6 linked regions of the Oryctolagus cuniculus genome follow. The protein of the gene in region 6 interacts with the protein of the main gene of each other region in a biochemical or structural test. Links are inferred from orthologs where the notes say so. Each region holds a gene or a part of one and is shown on either strand. Other genes may lie near its edges.

Region 1 (3,500 bases), on a different chromosome or scaffold from region 6:
CTCCCACTTCCCACTTCTCCCTGGAAGCTGGCTCTGACCTTGTGAGACTCTAGACCCTGGGGCCACGGTGTTCTCGGCCCCAAGGGCCCTCCTCCCTGCCCACCCTGTGGAATTTAGATTTTTGCGCCTGTAGCCAAGAAGAGTTCTCTTCTCAAACTTTGTCGGTGTCAGCGTCACCTGGACTTGCCAATTCAGACTGTGGGTCCCCCAGGGTGTCTGAGGCAGTAGGATGCTGCTGGCCCACCTGCTGCTCTCGACTGTGGTTGGCCGCCTCCTGGACGCCAGGCTGAGAGCCTTTTCTTTGCATGGAAAATCCAGATTCCGGTGGCTCTGCCAGTGTAGCCTGGTCACCCCCCCCCCCTCCCCAGCTCCACTGAGAGTTTGTACACTAAGGCTGCGGCCCACTTCAGGGGCACAGGACGCTCCGATGGAGAGCGCGTTTCTGGCTTACTGAGAATTCACTCCCTCTGCGCCCTCGTAGCCTCTGCGCTTAGATACCTCCATGAGAACAGAATCATCCACCGAGATCTGAAGCCGGAGAACATTGTTCTGCAGCAAGGAGAGCAAAGAGTGAGTGGCCTCCCAGCACAGGGGAGTGGGCAGTGCTCGGGGCAGCTGCCCGTGGGAAAGGAGCAGCTCTGTACGCCTGTTTATATTTGCATTTCCTCGCCTGGTGGCTTTGCTTCTCTGGGGATCAGAATTCAGCAACAAGTCCTTGCTTGCAGATGGAGGCCAGTTTGAATGGCTCCCATTGTTAATTGCCCACGTTGCAGGAATCCGATAAGAACCTAATGTTTGTTGCCTCCACCCCCAGCCTTTGGGACCAGTGCTTCTCAGAAGCAGGCTGCGTTTGTTATGAGGGCCTCCACTTTGGTTGCTAGTGTACAAAGCGGCTACACTAGCTGCTTCCAAGCGTGGCTGGGAAGGGGCATCGAGAGCTGGGGCACCTGTTCCTCCAGCCTGGTCCAGTTCGCAGTCCCCCAGAGCTGTGAGTGAGCTGATCAACGACCACCCTGCTTAGGTGGGGTGAGGGGTAGAGGTTGGTGTGCTCAGCCGAGGGGCCGTGGTCCCTTGGCTCCTAGGACACCTGATCCCTTCAGACACATGGCCTTCCCAGGCCCAGCCTCTGACAGCCACAGGCTCCCCTTTGTTCAGCGCTCGCTCACGTTGCTGGCGATGCTAAGATGTGACAGCTGGGGAGTGTCGGGAAGGGGCTGACCCGGGCTCTGGGTCTGAGGTCTGGTGCACGGTGCGTCCATCTGACCAGCGGCCGAGCCAGGAGAACATGAGCCGTACAAGGGCGCCCTCCTGTGTGTGGTGGCTCTTAGGGATTCAGGATCTCATCCCACCTGGGAATTTAGAAATGACGTAGCTCTAAGGGCAGGCGACCAGAACCCTTGTAGAAGGACAGTGTCGCCTCCTAACCCTCAGGTTTTCCCTCCTCCCTTTCCTTTTCAGTTAATACACAAAATCATTGACCTGGGATACGCCAAGGAACTGGATCAGGGCAGCCTTTGTACCTCCTTTGTGGGGACCCTGCAGTACCTGGTAAGAAGTGGCATCTACGTTTGCCTCTCAGCTTCTCTCTGGTGGCCATGGTGGTGGGGCAGCCCCGTGCTGCCGGCTCTGTGTGGTCTCCGGTGTGAGGTCCAGCCTGTCACCAGTTCACGTCAGCCTGTTGTGCCCCCAGAGGCCCTGCGGAAGGATGTGGTCCTTGTCTCTGCTGCCGGAGGGCGTGGCTGGCTCCCTTACCCAGGCCCCATAACCTCGCCGGCCTCAGTGTTTTGTCTGAGGATAAAGAGCATGCAGTAGACGCGTGCTGGCGTGGAGACCGCGGTCTCTGTGAGGAGTCTCACGCATCGAGGAGCAGGCAGAGCTGTGCGCTCCACGCCCTCTGCATACTCCAGCCTAAATGTCGGGGTTCTGCCTGAGTCCCTCATTCCTCCGGGACACCAGCCTCGGCGGTTTGTGTAGCAGGCACTTGAAAGGCGCTCGACTGGCTGACCTCAGTCATCCTATCACTGAAGCCTGCCGACTGGGTGCCAGGCTTCTCTGTGACCCGGTTCCCAGCGTGCTGACGTGTGTGGGGCTGACTCAGGCACCTGGGTGCCCAGGACGAGTAGTTAAGTAGGGCCCGCTGAGCACTGCCCAGGCTCAGAGCTGAGGGACAGACCCCAGCGCTCTGACCCGCTGCTGAGTCACCACTCACCTGCGGGATTATTTGTAGATAATCAGATTGACCCGAACATCCCCACATTTCTTACTGGGACTCCTTGTTCTTCCTCCAGTGTCACAGTTCCCGCCAGCCTGTGCACAGGCCTGTCCCCATGCCTTTGCTATGACGGCCCTTTCCGGAACGGCCCCTCCCATCCGCTCGTGTGAAGAGCTTTCTGAGCCCAGCTTTGTGGCCCGTCCTGGTGCCCCACGCCCACCCCCCGCTCCCTCGCTTTGGCAGCAGTCCCTGCCAGAGTGTAACCACCCCGCCCTGTTGTGTGGTCAGGTGTTAACTCGGTTCAGGGTGTTTGGTGGTCATTCAGTGTGTGCGTCGTGTATCTGGTGCGGACGATGCATGTCCTGGCAAGTGCTGGTCATCGGGCACCTGCGATGCGTTGCCGGACGACTGGTGCGGATGGCGTGAGTGCTGAGTGTCTCTGGCGCCTATGAGGCGTATGCGTGCCAGCCATCTGGTGCGCTCTGTGTGTGTTGTGTGCCTGCTGTGTATGATGCGCGCGCTGGGCGTCTGGCGCTTACGACACGTGTGCCGTGTGTCTTCTGCTGCTGTTCTCCTTGCTTCCGTGTAGCCCACCCTCCCGTCTACAAACCACCTGCAGCTGTGGCCCGTCCCGAGCCGCTGCTCAGGAGTTCCCGTGTGTAAAGGGGGGAGCTGAAAGCACGGTGGGCGGGTAGGAGGTACCTTGACCCACCTCAGAATTGCCCCTGCCCTTAGCCCTTCTGTCTGCATTACTGGGAGCGAATGAGGCACGCTTGGGTGGTCACCTGCCGCCGGATAGGCCGGGGCACTGAGATGGTGGGTGATGGGAGCCCTGCCCGGCGCCGTGTCTGTCGCTGTAGGCCCCGGAACTGCTGGAGCAGCAGAAGTACACGGTGACCGTGGACTACTGGAGCTTCGGCACCTTGGCCTTCGAGTGCATCACCGGCTTCAGACCCTTCCTTCCCAACTGGCAGCCTGTGCAGTGGTGAGTGACGGCCGGCCACTTTGTGCCTTCTCCTCCCCAGGCACTTTGGGCTCGAGCCTGGAGACTTCTGCTGATGAATTTTCCTAGGATAGAGCGCTTTAAGAGAGGAGATTAAGATATGAACCTGAAAATTCTAAAACACGTTCTCTAATAAAGTCGGAGGACACAATTAAACTTTCTTGAAAGAGATTTATTTATCAGGGCTGGTGCTATTGCTCAGCGGGTTAAAGCCCCAGCCTGCAGTGCCAGCATCCCATATTGGCACTGGTTTGAATCCTGGCTGCTCCACTTCCCATCCAGCTT
Region 2 (3,500 bases), on a different chromosome or scaffold from region 6:
GAAACCTTCAATAGCACTTTATCTGAGGAAACTCCATGCAGCCTAGGTGAATATATAAATCACCAGCGTAGTTTTACAAGAGCTTGTACCATGGCCAGTGCCGCGGCTCAACAGGCTAATCCTCTGCCTGCGGCGCCAGCACCCAGGATTCTAGTCCTGTTCAGGGCACCGGATTCTGTCCCGGTTGCCCCTCTTCCAGTCCAGCTCTCTGGCCCGGGAAGGCAGTGGAGGATGGCCCAAGTGCTTGGGCCCTGCACCCACATGGGAGACCAGGAGAAGCACCTGGCTCCTGCTTTCGGATTAGCGTGGTGCACCAGCCACAGCGCGCCAGTCACAGCGGCCACTGGGGGTTGAACCAACAGAAAAGGAAGACCTTTCTCGACCTTTCTCTCTGTCTCCCTCTCCTTCTCTCACTGTCCACTCTGCCTGTCCAACAACAACAAAAAAAAAAACCAAAAGCTTGTACCTGTTGCACCAAAGTCATTATTACCCTTGGACTATTCTTATGCTAATTTCTTGGCTAGGAATTCCTCAAATGTTGAAGTCTAGGATTACTGAATTCTCAAAGGAAGAATTAGTTTCTCTACTCAGAACCCTTGCTGAGAAATACAAACTTCCAGTACATCTGTCTGTGTCAACTGGTAGAATTTTTCACCCTTGAAATTATAGTACTTCAAGGGTTCCAGTTAGATGCTGTGATCTCTACCCAATAAACCATCTTAAATAAGTCTAAGACCTCCACTTTTGCCTCTTCATGGGCAACAATTTGTTAGCAAATCCTTCTCAACCCTTCAGAGCTGCTGCAAGGTCGGCTCACACTATTTTCACTTTCTTCTTCATTTTTGACTCTTGGAATTTCTCTTACTTTCATGTAAACTTAGGTTACTGGTGGTTGGTGCTGTAATGAACAAGGACTAAACTCAAAATATCAAACAAGCAGGAACAGAATCATCAATACAATGAAAATTTGTGGAAACTTAAAAATTCCCAGGCAACACACTGCAACATTTTCCTCTTCAATTTCCTACCTGTTAACTTTTAATTCATTGAAATCTTCCATTAGAATCACTGGCACAGACTGGTGACTTTCAAACTATGCCTTTTGGGAGGGAGCTCATCTGCCCTTACCCCTAAGTTCTTTCTGGGCCTAGTTTTTTTTTGTTTGTTTTTTTTGTTTTTTTTGTTTTTGTTTTTGTTTTTGTTTTTTAACTTGTTTCCTGTGAGATATACCAAATATTTCAAATAGATAAAATCATTCTTTGTAGGTGTTGTGGTGCAGTGGGTGAAGTCTACACTTCAGATGCCTTCAACATCCCATATGGGAGCGCCCGTTCAGGTCACAGCTACTTTGTTTCCAGCCAATACATCCTGGGAAGCAGCAGAAGACAGCTGAAGTACATGGGCCCCTGCTACCCATATAGAAGACCTGGATGGAGTTATTGACTCCTGGCTTTGGCCTGCCCAGCCCTGCCTTTGTGGGTACTTGGGTAGTGAACCAGTGAATGGAAGATCTCTTTTTCTCACTCTGTTGCTCTGCCTTTCAAGTAGCTGAAAATAAGCATTTTAAAAGAATGACTCTAATATGAAAAACTGCCTCTTAATGTATGTGTTGTACCCTCAATTTTTTTCTTAAATACATTTTAACTGGTGTAGAATTGATCCTTAATGGGGTTGGCATTGTGGCATAGTGGGTAAACCCACCACCTGTGATGCCTGCATCCCAAATGGGTGCTGGTCCCAATCCCAGCTGCTCCACTTCTGATCAAGCTCCCTGATAAGCAGAGAAAGCAGCAGAAGATGGCCCAAGTGCTTGAGCCCCTGCATACCCGTGGGAGACCCAGAAGAAGCTCCTGGCTCCTGCCTTTAGTCTGGCCCAGCCCTGGCCGTTGTAACCTTTTGGGGAGTAAAGCAGGGAATGAAAGATCTCTCTCTCCCTCTCTAACTTTGCCATTCAAATGAATAAAATAAATCTTAAAAAACTGATCCTTGAAAAAATATGATATTAGATTACAACATCAAGGTTTGACTGTATGCCCTAAACAGATAAACTACCCACCTTTCTTTCTCTTAGGTTGTTCTGGTGATGAGGCTCCTGGTGAGTCTGCATATGTCTCATGCACCTGCTGAGTTTCCATCACTTCAGGAATCCCATCTAATGTGACGGATACATGGGTGACTGGGGCAACAACAATGTCATCTTCAGATGAACTAAATATATTATTATCTAGGGGAAATAAGATCAACTAATTATAATCTATGGTGCATTACAAACCAAAATAATTTCATGAAATAAGTTCCTGTTTCTATGAAGACTAAAGTAGAAATAAAATCTTGAAATCAACTCCTTGCTTTTATTTCTTCTGCCCTAAATCAAGTACCTAAATCAGTCCAGACTGGAGAGGACTATTTCATTATCTTTCTTATTTACTTTCTAGCTCCAGTCTAACTTGTCTATCTCCTCTCGTTCTTCGTACTGCTGCTCTGAGTCCTGTGTCTGATCTGTTCATAATATTCCTTTATACAAAAACCTTACACCTGAAAATCTTAACAATAAAATCCACACATCTTCCCATAGATTACCAGGGATAAAAACAAGCCAAAAACTCCAAACCAAGTTTTTCAAAGCTTTCATAATCTAAACCAAGCCTGTCTTTCCATCTCATCTCCCATCCACCAGGAAGCTTCCACTTCAGCTGAACAAAAACATTTCTTTGCTCAACTATTTCATCTTTTTGAGACATTTGTGTCTCGGGCTCAACATGTTCCCTCTAGTTTGAATGCCCTTTCCTGTCTCCTCTACCTATTAAAAGCTTGTAATTTACAATCCAAGTCAAGACACTTCCTCCACTAGAGTACTGTCTCAGATGTCACCAACTAGAGTACTCACTGCTTCCAGAACATTTTGCTGTCACTCTCAGGTAAATAATTGCAAAAGCAAAAAATAAAGACCATAAGTAACTATCTTTAAAATTAAAGGAGAACATGGATTTAAAAGCAGATCAATGATGTGGCAGTGAATTTTAGGTCATGAAGTATTAATGAAATTTCCAATGGTGTTTTTGTTTATTTATTGATAAGTATCTACAGAGAGAACTAAACAAGAGATTAGGACCTAAACACACTGATACTTTCACCCATGATCTTATTTAGACAGCAAACCTGCAAAACCTACTATTTGATAACTAATATTTTTTTATTCCTGAAGTATTCATCCCTTAAATTAAAAGTCTTTAACTGAACACTCTAACAAATGTTCCTTTACGAGTACTATACCTTAAAATCTAAAATATGGTCTCTGGTCTTTTTATATTTACTAACAGAGAGAGATGGCAAGAATAACTCTGCAAAACAAGAACAATCGTTAACTACTTACTTATTCGTTTTTCATCCAGCATAGGGCCAGGAGAATCCATATTTAGGAGTGCCTCAGCAGCCTCAATAGTTTCAATTGTTTCATCCCCATTATGACAAGAAGCTTCAACTATAATACATTAAAGAAA
Region 3 (3,500 bases), on a different chromosome or scaffold from region 6:
TTCTTAGGCATGGGTTCCAGGCCCTAGTTGCTCTGGATTCTCACACGAATATGTTTTTATTTTAGTTATAATTATTTTGCCTCGAAGTTTCTTCTTCTGTAAAAATTGAGATGTGCAGATGCTCTGCATTTTACGACGGGGCCGTGTCCTAACAGGCCCATTGTAACTGGAGCATGTCTCAAGGCAAAAACACATTCAGTCCACCGGACCTACTGGACATCAGAGCTTGGCCACACGCACACAGTAGGTGTGCTCTGTGTCTCTGTAGGACCGTGGAAGCCAATGGGGGTTGCACTTGCTGCCACTGCCCAGGAAAAGACCCCAGCCCACGAATCAAAGCACAGCTGGTGCTGAAGCCCGTGGCTTCTGCCCCATCGTAAATAGGAGAAATCCTTGTGTCGAGCCATCGGTAAACCAGAGACTCCCTGTACACTTTATTGGCAGTGAAATGCACAGATCTGCAGTGTAGGTGGATGAGTTTGGACAAACGCGCCTGCTCTGGGAACCCACAATGCTTTTTTAGTTTCCAAGCCCACTTGCTTGGAGACCCTTGGTTCTAGACGTTTCCTCTTGGAGGTCAGGGGTCACTGATCTCCCTCCATAGCTCGTGACTGTATCTTGAGCAGGAAACGCGGGGCTTGGCACCCAGTATGCGTGCGAACAGTAAGAAGTGAGTAAGTGGATGAGGAGTAATGCTGCCCCCACGTCATGTCTGTGGCATTGGCAGCTCGTAAGTCTGGCCCGACACGTTGCCGTCCCAAACCCTCCGTGATCGCCAGTTAATTTCCATGCTGTTTCTGTGCGCACCGTGGAGTAGTAACAGCCATGCCAGCAAACAGGTTCGCGTACTCAGACAGGGGCGCGTCCATGCACAGGCACGGTTTGTGGCTCTGCAGTCTTTATTCTAAGCCGTTTGATGACACGAGTCATGCTGCTTTACATAAACAATGCGTTGGAGGCTCTGTTTGGCAACTCATTGCTCACCGGGCCTGACCGGGGATATGTGTCTGTTTCATGCTTTCTCTGTCTTGCTCAAGTTCTAAATATAGTCTCTGCCTAGCGAGGCTGGCACGCTGCCCCGTGAACTGCAAACACCATCCAGCACTTCCAGCTTATCTCCGGCCGCTTATCTACAGCAAGGCCTGCTCCGCCCGCAATCCTCACTCCTGCCCCTCCTTCTGCCCCAGGTCATCACCCCCCAGAACGGCCGGTACCAGATCGACTCTGACGTGCTCCTTGTCCCCTGGAAGCTGACTTACAGGAACATCGGCTCTGATTTCATTCCTCGCGGGGCCTTCGGCAAAGTGTACCTCGCCCAGGATATCAAGACGAAGAAGAGAATGGCGTGTAAACTGGTGCGTGCTTTCTCAGCGGGAGCTCCCCGGGCGTGTTCGCCTTTCTGGCTTCAGCGGGTTCATTTGCAGGCATCGGAAGTTCCGACCCTTTGAGGGGATCCTGCTTTCCAAGGGTGCTCTGCCCAGCACATTTCTTTTTAAGGATTTATTTGTTTATTTGAAAGTCAAAGGGGGAGACACAGAAAGAGAGAGAGAGAGAGAGATATCTTGCATCTATTAGTTCGCTTCTTAGATGGCCACAATGACCAGGTCTGAGCCAGGCCAAACCCAGGAGCCAGGAGCTTCATCCAGGTCTCCCATCTGGGTGCAGGGGCCATCTTCGCTGTTTGTCCTAAGCATGTTACCAGGGAGCTGGATCGGAAGTGGAGCAGCCGGGACTCCAACCTGCTCTCACATGGGATGATGGCGTCGCCAGGTGATGGCTTTACCGGCTGTGCCCTGAGATACGTTTGTGTTTCTGGATTTCCTAGGGGGACATTCAGCCCTCAGATGTCTGCTTTGGTGCGCTGTGGAATTCTATCTGGTTAGAGGAAAGCGCCCCAGCTTGGATGACGTCTTTGCCTTTGAGTGGAGGGGGGCCGAGGCTCGGTGTTCACACCTGCACCCCAAGAGTAGCTTCATTCTTCCTCCCCTGTAGGGAGGGGGCCCGGGCAGAGGAGCAGAAGCTGGGGTAACAGAAAGCTACTCGGGACTGTGGATTGAAAGGGCTGAGTCGAAAACCAGCGGTGACTAAGAACTCACCTGTCCTGATTAGACAGTAGCACCTGGGGTGCTGCCACATTGCAGCTCTTGGGCAGCTCACCCCCCCTCCCGTGCTGGGTGCTCACGCACCCTGTGACCCAACAGTTCCAGGTCTGTAGGTACACTCGGCAGGGCGTGGCCCGTGCGCTCATGCTCACCACAAGCTGAAAGCTGGGCGCTAGGCTGTTCAGGTCGGCACTGTTAGCTGGGTGTCCCAAGCTGGAAACTTCCCAGGTGTTTATACAGTGGAACACTGGGCGGCAACGAGAATCCACGCGTGACAACCATAATATCCGTGAGTCTCAGGACCGTGGTGTTGAGCCAGACCCAAAGGCAGATCTGCCTGGTGACATTCCGTTTATATAAGAGAAATAGGAAAGACAGGTCGGGAGAGAAGAGACTGGACTTCTAACGAAGAATTAATTGAAGTGCACTCGCTTTTCAGTTACAAAAAATAGAATAAAGGAGTGGATGTTTGGCCTAGGTGTTAAGGCACAGCCAGGACACCCATGTCCCCTATCAGAGTGCCTGGGTTCCATACCCAGGGCCAGCTCACACTCCAGCTTCTCGCTTATGGAGACCCTGGGAGGCAATGGGGATGGCTCAAGTCAGTGGGTTCTTGCCCCCGACGCCCGTGACCTGGATCGAGTCCCCAGCTCCCAGCCAGCCCTGGCTGTCGCAGGCATTTGGAAAATGAACCAGGAAACTCACCAGCTCGCTCGCTCTCTCTCTCTCTCTCTCTCTCTCTCTCTGGCTGTCGTGGGCATTTGGAAAATGAACCAGGAAACTCACCGGCTAGCTCGCTCTCTCTCTGTACTGCTCAAATAATTTTAAAGATAATAATGATTGCTGAATGTTACGTCCCAGTCCTTGTTACCGTCATTAAATGAGCTTAGCACTTTGGCAGGGGTATCTGAACGTAGAAGACTTGTAGCCAGCGGGTTGAAGCTTGCGTTGAGAGGGGTTTGTGTTTAAGGTGCGCTGAGAAAGGTCTGCAGATTTTTCAAGATGTTAGAACTGCTGAGTCGTTTCTCAGCAAGTCACAAAAAGCATGGGAAAATAGTTGTGTGGGTGGTTTTCCTTACAGTACTAACATTTAATTTTGAAACTGTCCTTGTCTTAAGACTGAAACACACAGAGATAATCAAAAACCCCCCAAAAGCCTCAAAAGAAGTGTTACCTGAAGCCTAAAACCCCTATGCTCTGAGCCGATTGCTCTTGGTGGGTTCTTAGTATATTCTTCGTGGGAACGTCTGTGCAGATAGGAACGGACAGGCTAAACATTTCACATAAATGGGAAATTAAGGTACGCACTTGGGCATCTCACTACCTTTTTAGCTAGCACCGTGTTTCGGAGACAGGTCCAAAGCTGGTTACACCTAAAGAACTGCTTTCTTGCTGACA
Region 4 (4,030 bases), on a different chromosome or scaffold from region 6:
ACACATACAGAGAAATGCACAGGTCTCGTGTTGCCGGTTACAAAGAGAACAGGGGGGATGTATAACAGTCCTCGCCCCCCAGTGCCAGCTCCTGTCCCCTCTCCTGCCCTCTCGCGATAATGAGTCTGTTGTGTAACTTGACGTAAATGAGCCCGTACAGTGTGTTCTCGTGCATCTGGCCTCTCTGGATCGATATTAAGTGCTGGAGATTCGTTCGTGATGTGGTAATCCCTCGTTCTCATAGAGGGAGGGGCTTGCTGGATCATAGGGCAGGTGCACTCGGATGCTTAGTGCTGGCGAACTTTCGCAAACTATGCATTCAATTTTACTTGAAAGGCGGAGAGGGGGAGGACAGAGAGACAGAGATCTTCCATCGCTGGTTCACGTCCCGGGTGCCGGCCACAGCCCGGGCTGGCAAGCAGCAGCCCAGGACCCAGGCCAGATCTGCCCTGTGGGTGGCAGGGACCCAAGCGAGCTCTTCTAACCTCCTAGGGTGCAGGAGGTTAGCATGGGGAGCTCTGACCCCCGGGGCCCCGCAGTCCTCTGGGTAACAGGATCGTGCCGGCTTCCCTTCCACACTGCGACACCACTCAAACTCAGGTGCGGTGCAGGGTAAGCAACGGCCAGTTCCTCTCGACTCCGACCAGGCAGGCACCGTCCTGAATCGCAGGGACGGAAGACACGGCCTCACTCGGAAATGCTAACACGTGGGGGCAGGCCCCAGGCGCATCTTGGAACTGGCGCTGCGAGGGGCAAGGACGAAGCCTGGGGCGCTGGGCCGGGGGCGCCTGAGCGCGGGAGGCGGCCGGGGCAGGGTCTGGAAAAGCAGGGACCGATCAAGAAGCCCACCAGGACACAGAGCAGGTCTCTCAGTCTGCTGGGGTCGACCCTGGGCGACTCCGTCGGGAGCTGATTCCAGGGCTCCGCTGGGGCCCGAGTCGCCATTCAGCCGGGTGGAGGAGAGACCCGGCCGCCAGCTAGCACCGAGGCTGCCCGCGCTTAGGGGGCCGGAGGTGCGGCGCGCCCCTCTCACCTCCCGCCGCCCGCACCGCACCGCACCGCACCGCACCGCACCCGTGCGGTAAAAGCGTTAACCGAAGCCACAAAGGTCGGCGAGGAGCCAGGATACGTCCAGCCCGTCTCTGGGCCTCCCGGCTTCCGCCAGCCTCTGCCGTCTCGGTCCTGCACCGGCCCGAGCGCTCCCTCGCTGCGCTAAACCCGAAGGCCGGGCGCCCCCCGCCCAGAGGCCCGGAGCTCCTCGCTCCCCGGCGCGCACAGGCGGCGCGTGCGCAGAGACAGGGCGCGCGCGCGGCGGCGCGGTGGGCGGGGCACCGGCGCTCGCGAGCAGCCACGGCGCGTGCGCACAGGGACGCGGCACCCGGGGCCCCGCCGCGGCGCCGGCGCCTGCGCGCTGCGGGCTCCGGGCCCTCCCGGCCTGAGGGAGAGGAGCAGGGAAGATGGCGGCGGTGGTGGAGAATGTAGTGAAGCTGTGAGTGGTCGTTTCTTTCTCTCCCAGGCGGAGAGGTCTTGTGAGGGGCCTGGGAGTAGGGGGCGGTGCGGGAAGAGAGGAGGCGGCCGGGGGGACGGGCCCGGGAAGGCCGTGGTTGCCGCTCCGGGTGGGGAGTGCGACGCGGGGGGGGGGAGGACTCCGGAGAAGACGTTGCGCCTCTTTGGAAACTTGTGGAGGCCCTGGGCGGGGGGCACGCGGGAGCCCCTGCCCCGCGGCCGCTGTGCGGGGCTGTGTGGGAGCCGCCGCGGGGCCTGCAGGTCGCGGAGTGCGGCGCTCAGGCTGCGGCCCGGAGGAGCCGAGCCCAGGCCCCGGGGGGCCCCGGCGAGTCCCCGCCACGCGCGGCCGTTGGCCCGGAGCAGCAGGCTCGGCGGTCCCTGCGGGGCTGGGGTAGCAGGTGCGCAGGACGCAGGCAGCGCGGAGAAGAAGGGAGAGAAGTTGAGGGGGAGCGGGGCCCGAGCGGGCCAGGCCGGGGGGCGTCCTCCGGGCGACCCGGAGCCGTCGTGCGGGTCAGGGGTCGGGCAGAGCTAAATTGGGTGGTGGTCGGGGACCTGGGGGATGCTGCGGGACTTGGTGACACGAGCCAGCCGCCTGCCCCCCGAGGAAGAGTCCGGTGCGTTGGGAAGCGGGCTGGTGCCCGTGGGCGAGCCTGGGGTGGCCTTGTCGCCGCCGCGCGGACGCGTCTGGCCGTCCAGTTAGGGCTTTTTGGATTCTGGCTGGACGCCAAGGTCAGGTGCGGGGCGTGCTCTCTGGACCCCGCGTCTCCTCTTTGTGGTGGCCGAGCAGGTCGCCTCCCCCTGCCCGCGGCGCTTTCCCCGGTTCCATTAAGCTAAGTGCCTTCTCCCTGGCTTGTGGTTTGGTTTTTTTTTTCCTGACTTGCTTCTTGCTCTGTCCTGCTGCCCCTGGGAGCCAGCCCCCCGCCCGACGCGGTGGTTTCTGCGATCTGCCCACGCCGGTTCCCCAGCTCTGGGCTGGCGTTTCCCTCCCTCTGATGCCTTCCTGACTCGCGGGCTCTTTGTTTGCCCGCCGTGCTCTTTGTTGACCCCCCCCCCCCCGGGAGGGCCCACCTAGGCTCGGTTCCTGAAGCTTCTACCTGGGAAGCCTGTGCTGCGGCCTTGCCGGGTTCTGAGGGGGAGGATGCCCTTGGCCTTGGCAGCTCGGCTTCGCCCGCCGTCTGAGCCAGGGGGTCGGCCGCGTAGCTGCAGCCTGGCTTTTCAGGTCTCGGAAGAACCGGAGGGATTGTGAAGGTCATCAGCCGCCGACTCCGGGTGCCGACAGCGAGACCCCAGCTTCTCTGGGGGCCGGGACTGCTGCAGGCTTCCCTAGGAGGCTTCGCGCCCCTGCACCGAGATGCAGTCCCTGAGCCCCCGTCAAGGTCAGGGCCGCCCGCAGCTCGTCGGGGAGAGGGTGTTCTCTTTGTGAGTGCTCTGTCTCTACCGTGGTAGCAGAGTGGACGCCCCCTCTCGGGTCTCGCTGTGAGAGTACGGTGGTGCAAAACAGTGGTTTGGGAACTCTCTGAGTCAGGTACCAGAGCTGCAGGATAATTTACGTGAGATATCTTGCTACACGGCCTTGCGTTCCTAAGACCGATCTCTCGCTCTCCTCGTCAGATGCTTCCCACAGTGCCCACTGCGGTGTCCTTCCCAGCCCCGTTACCCCAAGACTGCCGCTTGCCCCGCTTCTGAAGTCCCCTAGGGTCCCCAGAGCTCGACAGAGCGTCTCACGCATCCCCGAGCCCTGCGGCCCGCGGACCCTTCTGTTCCCAGCGTCAGCGTCAGTCGCATCAGCAGAAACAGCCGCTGCACTGAGCCTTGTTTGTCCAGTTTCCTCTGCGTGGGGAGGACGTGGCTGCCTCCTCACGGCCAGCGATGGGAGCCAGCCCCGCTCAGGTCTCCAGCGCAGGGTCCTTGCCTGCATCCAGGCGGACTGTGCTTGGGCGATGCCGTCCCGCGATTGCCTGCTGGGGATGAGGGACGCTCCACTGTGCCGCTCACCGAAAGCCCCCATCCGATTGCAGAGCAGGGTTTGTTGGTGTAGCGCCAGAGGTGGGCATGAGCCCGGGAGACGTAGCGCGTGCAGCTCCTCACGCCCGGGGTTGCCTGCTCGTGGGTCCCTGGGATGTCAGAGCTCAGCGAGTGCAAGCTCCCGAAAATGCGGAAGAGACACTGAGGTCCATGCAGGGTTCGTGCAGGTTGACTAAGTGTCCGTGTTCGCGTGCTGACTTGGAGCCCGGCAAGGCCGTTTTATTCCCAAGTCCGGATTGACGGTGTTGCAGATGTTTTCATGGGTATTAGGGAGACTGGGGAGAGAAGTCACCTGTGCCCTCACTTTAAGAGGGATATATTGGCCGGCGCCGCGGCTCACTAGGCTAATCCTCTGCCTTGCGGTGCCGGCATACCGGGTTCTAGTCCTGGTCGGGGCGCCGGATTTTGTCCCGGTTGCCCCGCTTCCAGGCCAGCTCTCTGCTGTGGCCCGGGAGTGCAGTGGAGGATGGCCCAAGTGCTTGGGCCCTGCACCCCATGG
Region 5 (2,820 bases), on a different chromosome or scaffold from region 6:
TTTGTTCACTGTGAACCAGTCGATGGGAGCTGTTTCCCAGGTAAATGTGAAAAATAAAAGACACACCATGCAGTGCAGATGATACATACAAATCGCCACGGGACGACTGCGGGTGGCAGTGTTAGGGACACTCGCAGGCCATCAGAACTGTGGTCGGTTGAGGGTTACCCCGGGACCCACACACTGCCGGATCCCCCAAAGCACACCCAGGGACACCATGGAATCCAGCAGGGCCCCTGGGCAGATGTCTCACACAGACACACAGACACACACACACACACACCAGGTCCTAACGGCACAGTGACGTCACCATGGCAACCTTCGCAGCTGAACCACGATGTCACACACAGTGGTGAGCGGTGCTCAGGCTGAGACGAACACAGCAGCTCACGGAGTCAGCTGCATACAGCAGACAGGTGCACCCACACACGCGTGCGCACCCACACACACGTGCACACCCCCCCCACACGCGTGCACGCTTCTTCCAGCCGAGCAAGGGATATGGTACAAAAATAGTTTATTACAAAAGAAATCCAACCAAAATGCCTAATAATTTACAGAGTGGTCAGTGCCCCCCTCGGCCCTCCTCCTTCGGCCCGGTACAGAGCCGGCCCCTGGCTCTCCACGGGACGCCTAGCTGGGTGGGATCCCAGACCCAGACGGGGCGGCTGCAGCCCAGGAGCGGCAGGGCCGAGTCCCGGGTGGGCGAGGTGAGGGTCTCTGTGCACAGAAGGGCCTGTGGGTAGGTGCCTGTGCCTTGGTGCAAAATCCTGGTCCCAAAGATTGGGGGGGGGGGGCAGAGTGAGATCTTCACAGTTTCCGGAAGGGTCGACCCCTGTGCTGCGGGGGGGCGGGTCGTTGAGTCCTCCTGAGTCCAAGATCTGCCCCCCCATCGGTCTCAGCTGCCTCCGGGGGCTGGGGAGGGGGGCACCGGCCGGCCAGGACCCCGCAGAACCCCAGGAAAGGGCAGGAAGGCGGGTGGAGACGGCGGGGGGAGGAAGAAGTTGGGGGGAGGCAGAGGGAATCCCGGGGCGTCCTTGGAGGGAGACTGGGAGGGCGAGGAGGTCGGTGATGCCGAGAGGAGACCTGCGCGGAGAGAGCCGGAGAGGCCGTGAGACACCAGGCCGGAGGGGAGGGCCGGGCCCGGACCTGGGTGCCGCGGCGGCGGGAGGGGGCGCTGGAGGCTCACCGTTGGAGCTCAGGCGGCTGCTGCCCTCAGGGGACGTGGTGGCACTGCGGTCCGGGGACGGCTCTCGCTGCGCCGCGGACGCGGCCCGGGTGGCCTTCCCCCGCAAGATGTCAATGACCTGGGGGCAGACGGGAGGGTCACCACGGGGTGCCCGTCTCCTGGCTCAGGGCGCACGGACTCCTGCCCGCGGAGGGCCTCCGTGTCGTCTCGGTGGGGCGCAGGGCGGGCACCGGCCCCGCAGGCGCGCGCACTCACCCGGCGGCTGCGCGCCACCATGAGCGGCGTGTCATTGTGGCAGTTCTTCAGCCCGCTGTCGGCGCCGCTGCGGACCAGCGTGCGCACGAGCGGGAGGAGCCCGCGGCCCGACGCCGAGTGCAGAGCCGAGCTGCCCGAGTACATCTGCGCGTTCACGTTGGCGCCGTGCTGCGGGCGGGGACGCGCAGTCAGGAGCGGGCCCTCGCGGGCGATAGAGTCTGCCCCCCCCACGCTCGTTGGCCAGGTCTTGGGACCCGAGCATATGGGGGGGGGGTCCTGGGTAGGTGGAAATGAGAACCCACAGCGGGCCACGGCCACCCTGGCCCGGCCAACTCCACTCGAGCTCGTAGGGGCCGGGTTGCGGGTGGGGTCGAGTGGAAGGACAGCGCCGGACCCGCCCAAGGCCGGAGAGCGGGGTCAGAGGGCCATGGGGATGGTGGGGTTGGGATCAGAGAGGGGGTGGGGGAGAGGCCAGGCCGGAGGGGGGCGAACGCACCTGCAGCAGCAGCTGCACCATGCTAAGGCTGTTGTTTTCCACAGCGTGGATGAGCGGCGAGCGGCCGCTCTTTATATCCTGCGGCGAGGAGGGAAGGGTTTGGGGTCTCTCGGCGGCGCGCCTCCCGGGCGCCCCGTCCAGCGTCTCCTTCCCAGGCGATGCCTCAAGTCCCGCCCACCCGGGCGCACTCCCCGGCTCGCCCCGCCCCCGGACCCGCCCCCGCCGGGCCAGGCCCCGCCCCCCGCGCATGCTCACCACCGCGTCGATGTCCGCGCCGCGCTCCAGCAAGAGCAGCACGGCTTCGTGGCACTCGGTGTTCACGGCCACGTGCAGGGCCGTGAGCCCTGGGGGAGGCGAGGCTCAGTCACACCGGGGCGTGGGGCCAGGCCCGGCCGGACAGCCCGACTCTGCCCCCCGCGGTGGGCACTCACCGTCGTAATTGCGGGCCTCCAGGTCCACCGTGCCCGGGGCCGCGCTGTCCAGCAGGGCCCGCAGGCAGGCCGGGCTGCGGTGCTCGCACGCCAGGTGAGCCGCCGTCTGGCCGTGGCGGTCCAGCGCCATGGGGCTGGCCCCTGCCACCACCAGCAGCCGGACCACGGGCGGCAGCGTGGTGATCACAGCCAGGTGCAGCGGAGTCTGGAGAACAGACAGGGTGAGGGCGCCGCGCCGCAGCCTGCACCCCAGGAGCGGAAACCTGGGGCGCCCCCTCTTCCAGACGCCGGAGCCAGGGCCCCGCCGCCCCTCCCCCCCCCCCGCCAGGCTCCGGGGTGCAGGCCCCGCCCCCGCCCTCCGGAGGCTCCTGCCTGAGCCCCGGGGCCCAGGCCCACCTGCCGCAGGTTGTTGTAGATATCCAGTTCCCGCCCGCCATGCTGGAAGAGGT
Region 6 (2,997 bases):
TTTACAAACGGAGAGCAGCCATGGCCCTGAACCACATCCCCTTTATCAACAGGCCAATCGCTCAGTTCCCCTACACAGAAGAATTTCATAGAGCCTTTCCCACCTCTTCACCTCTGTCCTTTCCTTGACCCCCTGCTGTCGAGGCACCAGCACAGGTCTCCACTGGCCCTGCCCTTGTTACTGACCAGCAGCCTCCACGTCGCCGTCCCTCTCATCCCCTCAACGTGCGTGTGTCCCAGGCAACCGCTCCCTGCTCCCCCAGGGAGAGTCCCCGGTCCTCCACTCCTGGCCTCTCCACAGCCCTCCCTACTGCTCTGCACAGAACCCTGGGTGGCCACGTGTGTTAGAAGCACTGCCATCCGACCAGGAAGGAGACACAAATCTGAGAAGTAACCGTCAGCACCGCTCCCAGTCCAGTCCACTCACGTCTTGCCTAGATCCCCGAGACAGCTCCCAGTCAGTCCCTTTGCTTCCTCTCTGTCCACCTCCCATCCACAACAGATGATGCCGTCCACGTGTGAAATCGGTGAGATCTGTTTCTCCTGTTGTCTCCTCTCCATTCATCCACTCAGCGAATCGTCACCAAGCACACATTTAAGGTGGAGAAACACTGTCCCTGCTTGAGCCGTTTACTCTTTCCAGCTGCACTGACAAGCTCTTCCCTCCTCCCCTTCCACCGAGGCCTTCTCTCTGCTTCCTAGGGCCTAGAGCCCTTCTCTCCCGCTTCCCGGAAAGCGCCTCACCTGGGTGGTTCCTGCTGGCCAGCAGTGTTGCCCTGCGAGGGGGGCTTGCCTAGGGGACTAAGGACGGATGTCCTTGTGCCCACTAGGAGAACCACCCAGATCTCCTGCCTTATGACCCAGTGCTCCTTCTACAGAAAAATTCAAAGAAAAAAATAAGAATTAATCCCTTAATTTGCAGTTAGTTTTAAAATAAGTTCCTAGAACATAGATCAAATAAAGTCTGGTTGATTGGATAAATTAATACCAACACAATAGTCATCAGCTGCCATTGAAGCCCTAGTATTCTAATATCTATTATTTTCATTGGTCACATCCCTAAGAGTACTTCTCAGAAAGGAGAACTCAACCTAGTTTTCCAGAATGGACTCATTTTCATCAAAATGCCCTTTTTTTTTTTTTTTTGCCACCAAAACTGTTTTGAGACAGTATATACTGTTGAAAAGCCTAAGCAGCTCACAGATTTTTCATTTTTAGCTGCTACTTTGTTCATTTATTTTGCCTAGGTTCAGCAGTTTCCCCAAGTATAAAATAGGTGATACAGTGGTTGGAAAAATACATCTGATTTCTAAGAAAGCAGGTGCATTTTGAGTCAAGAGAATTCAGAAAGGATTCTGGTAAACACAGGCTAGATTGCAAGAGAAAGATGTGAAAACATTCGGCTGGCACTCGCGGCTGCAGGTTTTACGTGAGACGGCATCTGCCACCCCCCCACACACACACCACCGGGACCGGCGGCAGTGAGCAGGCCGTGTAGGTGGGACACACCGACTGCTGGAAGCCAGCAGATGAGTCGTCCCTGGGCCTCTTAGAGGCCAGCTCACAACCCAGCTGGACGGTAAGGCTGTGAGAGCAGAGGCTGTTCCCCCGTCAGTCTGTGCTTTCTCCCCACAGATGAGCTGCCAGACAGCGACAGCGTCTGTGACAGCGGCGTGGAGACGTCATTCCGCAGACTCAGCTTCACGGAGTCCCTCCCCAGCAGCGGCTCGATGCTAACTCTTCACAAAATGCCCCACGAGTACGGGCAAGAAGGACCTCTCGAAGGCAAAATCTAGCCTCCCAGCAGTGTCCCACAGCGTGTAAACCAAAGCCCTGAATTCCACTGTATTGCCCACCGGAAGGAAGGTAAAGTGCGTCCCAAGGTGCTTGGAGGAGGACCGGCCTACCTGAATCATTGTCGATTTAATTCCAGGCCCCTGGCTGGACTGCCTTTCTTGGTTCGTAATGGATTTTAGTTTGGCTCCCTTGCAGGTAGTGTAGCGATCACAGCACTCGGCTGCGCTGACGCGTCGTTGGGGGGGAGGTAGCTTCTTGAGCTTTCAAAGCTGCTCCTGGATTACGGCTGCTTCCTGTTGTCGTTGCTGCTGTCCCTCTGCTGCGTTCCCACTGTCATTTAGAGCTGTCACTGTCCCCACCCAGTGTTCCTGCTGGCCGTCCGTGGCACATTTGTGCGTTCAGATTAAGGGTGAAGAAAAGGGATATTCTATAAGGAGAGTCACTTGGTGTGCAATAAAAAAACAAAACAAAACAAAAAAAACATTGCTTTTTCTAACGTGGTTATCTCCGTGATTTGAAAACAACATGTACTTATCGATATTTAAACACAGTTACAATCATTGCTGAAAATTTCTCCACCATTTTCTGCATTTTGCTATTGTAAATATGTTTTTTAGATCAAATACTTTAAAGAAAAAAATGTTGGATTTATAAATGCTATTTTTTATTTTACTTTTATAATAAAAGGAAAAGCAAATTGATGATCTCACCTTGTTTGATCTCTGCCAGTACTTTCCTAAGATGATTCCTTGTAATCATGGGATCACTCCATAGCCTGATTATTATATTCCGATTCCCCTTTTGAGTCATTTTTTTTTATCTAGCAATGAACAAAACATTTACCAAAAGACAAATGTTTTAAGCTAAGATGCAAGCCTTCGGTTGTCAAATCCCAGCCTGGCCCATCTCATGTAGACCGTGTCATCTCTCACAACACCAGACCTCTTCACCGTCTTCTCCTTTGCCTCTGCCACACATCTTCTGAAATTCCAGTGTACTAGAAGGCCCTGGACAAGCAAGAAGCTTTGCTAAACCCTCTTCACTCAGAGGTGGAAAAAGAGAAAAGAAACGGTTTCAGATGAGGTGCTCTGGTGAACACTGCACTGGTTAACCAAGTTCCCACTCTAACAAGGATTTGCTGGTCTGCCGCCGGGGCTCCTTCCAGAATTCCTCCATTGCTGAGAGCTACCTGCCCTCGGCC

What was found.
Region 1: of the proteins of NFKB1 (region 6) and IKBKB, one has a biochemical effect on the other in vitro, tested with the Homo sapiens proteins (4 studies listed by BioGRID and IntAct). The link is inferred for Oryctolagus cuniculus from reciprocal best matches to the Homo sapiens genes NFKB1 and IKBKB.
Region 2: the proteins of NFKB1 (region 6) and ELF1 form a complex in vitro, tested with the Homo sapiens proteins (2 studies listed by BioGRID). The link is inferred for Oryctolagus cuniculus from reciprocal best matches to the Homo sapiens genes NFKB1 and ELF1.
Region 3: the proteins of NFKB1 (region 6) and MAP3K8 form a complex in vitro, tested with the Homo sapiens proteins (2 studies listed by BioGRID and IntAct, with this or other methods). The link is inferred for Oryctolagus cuniculus from reciprocal best matches to the Homo sapiens genes NFKB1 and MAP3K8.
Region 4: the proteins of NFKB1 (region 6) and DPF2 form a complex in vitro, tested with the Homo sapiens proteins (2 studies listed by BioGRID). The link is inferred for Oryctolagus cuniculus from reciprocal best matches to the Homo sapiens genes NFKB1 and DPF2.
Region 5: the proteins of NFKB1 (region 6) and BCL3 form a complex in vitro, tested with the Homo sapiens proteins (2 studies listed by BioGRID). The link is inferred for Oryctolagus cuniculus from reciprocal best matches to the Homo sapiens genes NFKB1 and BCL3.

The regions. Positions count from the first base shown.
Region 1 is NC_091433.1:92,496,149-92,499,648, forward strand, and holds part of IKBKB (inhibitor of nuclear factor kappa-B kinase subunit beta), read left to right. Parts: intron 1-481; coding exon 482-570; intron 571-1,458; coding exon 1,459-1,548; intron 1,549-3,072; coding exon 3,073-3,197; intron 3,198-3,500.
Region 2 is NC_091440.1:60,213,364-60,216,863, forward strand, and holds part of ELF1 (ETS-related transcription factor Elf-1), read right to left. Parts: intron 3,482-3,500; coding exon 3,374-3,481; intron 2,225-3,373; coding exon 2,057-2,224; intron 2,037-2,056; exon of another isoform or gene 1-2,036.
Region 3 is NC_091444.1:100,801,581-100,805,080, reverse strand, and holds part of MAP3K8 (mitogen-activated protein kinase kinase kinase 8), read left to right. Parts: intron 1-1,187; coding exon 1,188-1,355; intron 1,356-3,500.
Region 4 is NC_091432.1:6,292,617-6,296,646, reverse strand, and holds the start of DPF2 (zinc finger protein ubi-d4), read left to right. Parts: upstream 1-1,230; 5' UTR 1,231-1,457; coding exon of another isoform or gene 1,458-1,489; intron 1,490-4,030. UniProt on the Homo sapiens protein: Plays an active role in transcriptional regulation by binding modified histones H3 and H4. Is a negative regulator of myeloid differentiation of hematopoietic progenitor cells. Might also have a role in the development and maturation of lymphoid cells.
Region 5 is NC_091449.1:11,841,759-11,844,578, forward strand, and holds the end of BCL3 (B-cell lymphoma 3 protein), read right to left. Parts: coding exon 2,768-2,820; intron 2,577-2,767; coding exon 2,372-2,576; intron 2,285-2,371; coding exon 2,196-2,284; intron 2,019-2,195; coding exon 1,941-2,018; intron 1,613-1,940; coding exon 1,445-1,612; intron 1,308-1,444; coding exon 1,190-1,307; intron 1,087-1,189; coding exon 899-1,086; 3' UTR 501-898; downstream 1-500. UniProt on the Homo sapiens protein: Contributes to the regulation of transcriptional activation of NF-kappa-B target genes. In the cytoplasm, inhibits the nuclear translocation of the NF-kappa-B p50 subunit.
Region 6 is NC_091439.1:62,585,312-62,588,308, reverse strand, and holds the end of NFKB1 (nuclear factor NF-kappa-B p105 subunit), read left to right. Parts: intron 1-1,634; coding exon 1,635-1,795; 3' UTR 1,796-2,497; downstream 2,498-2,997.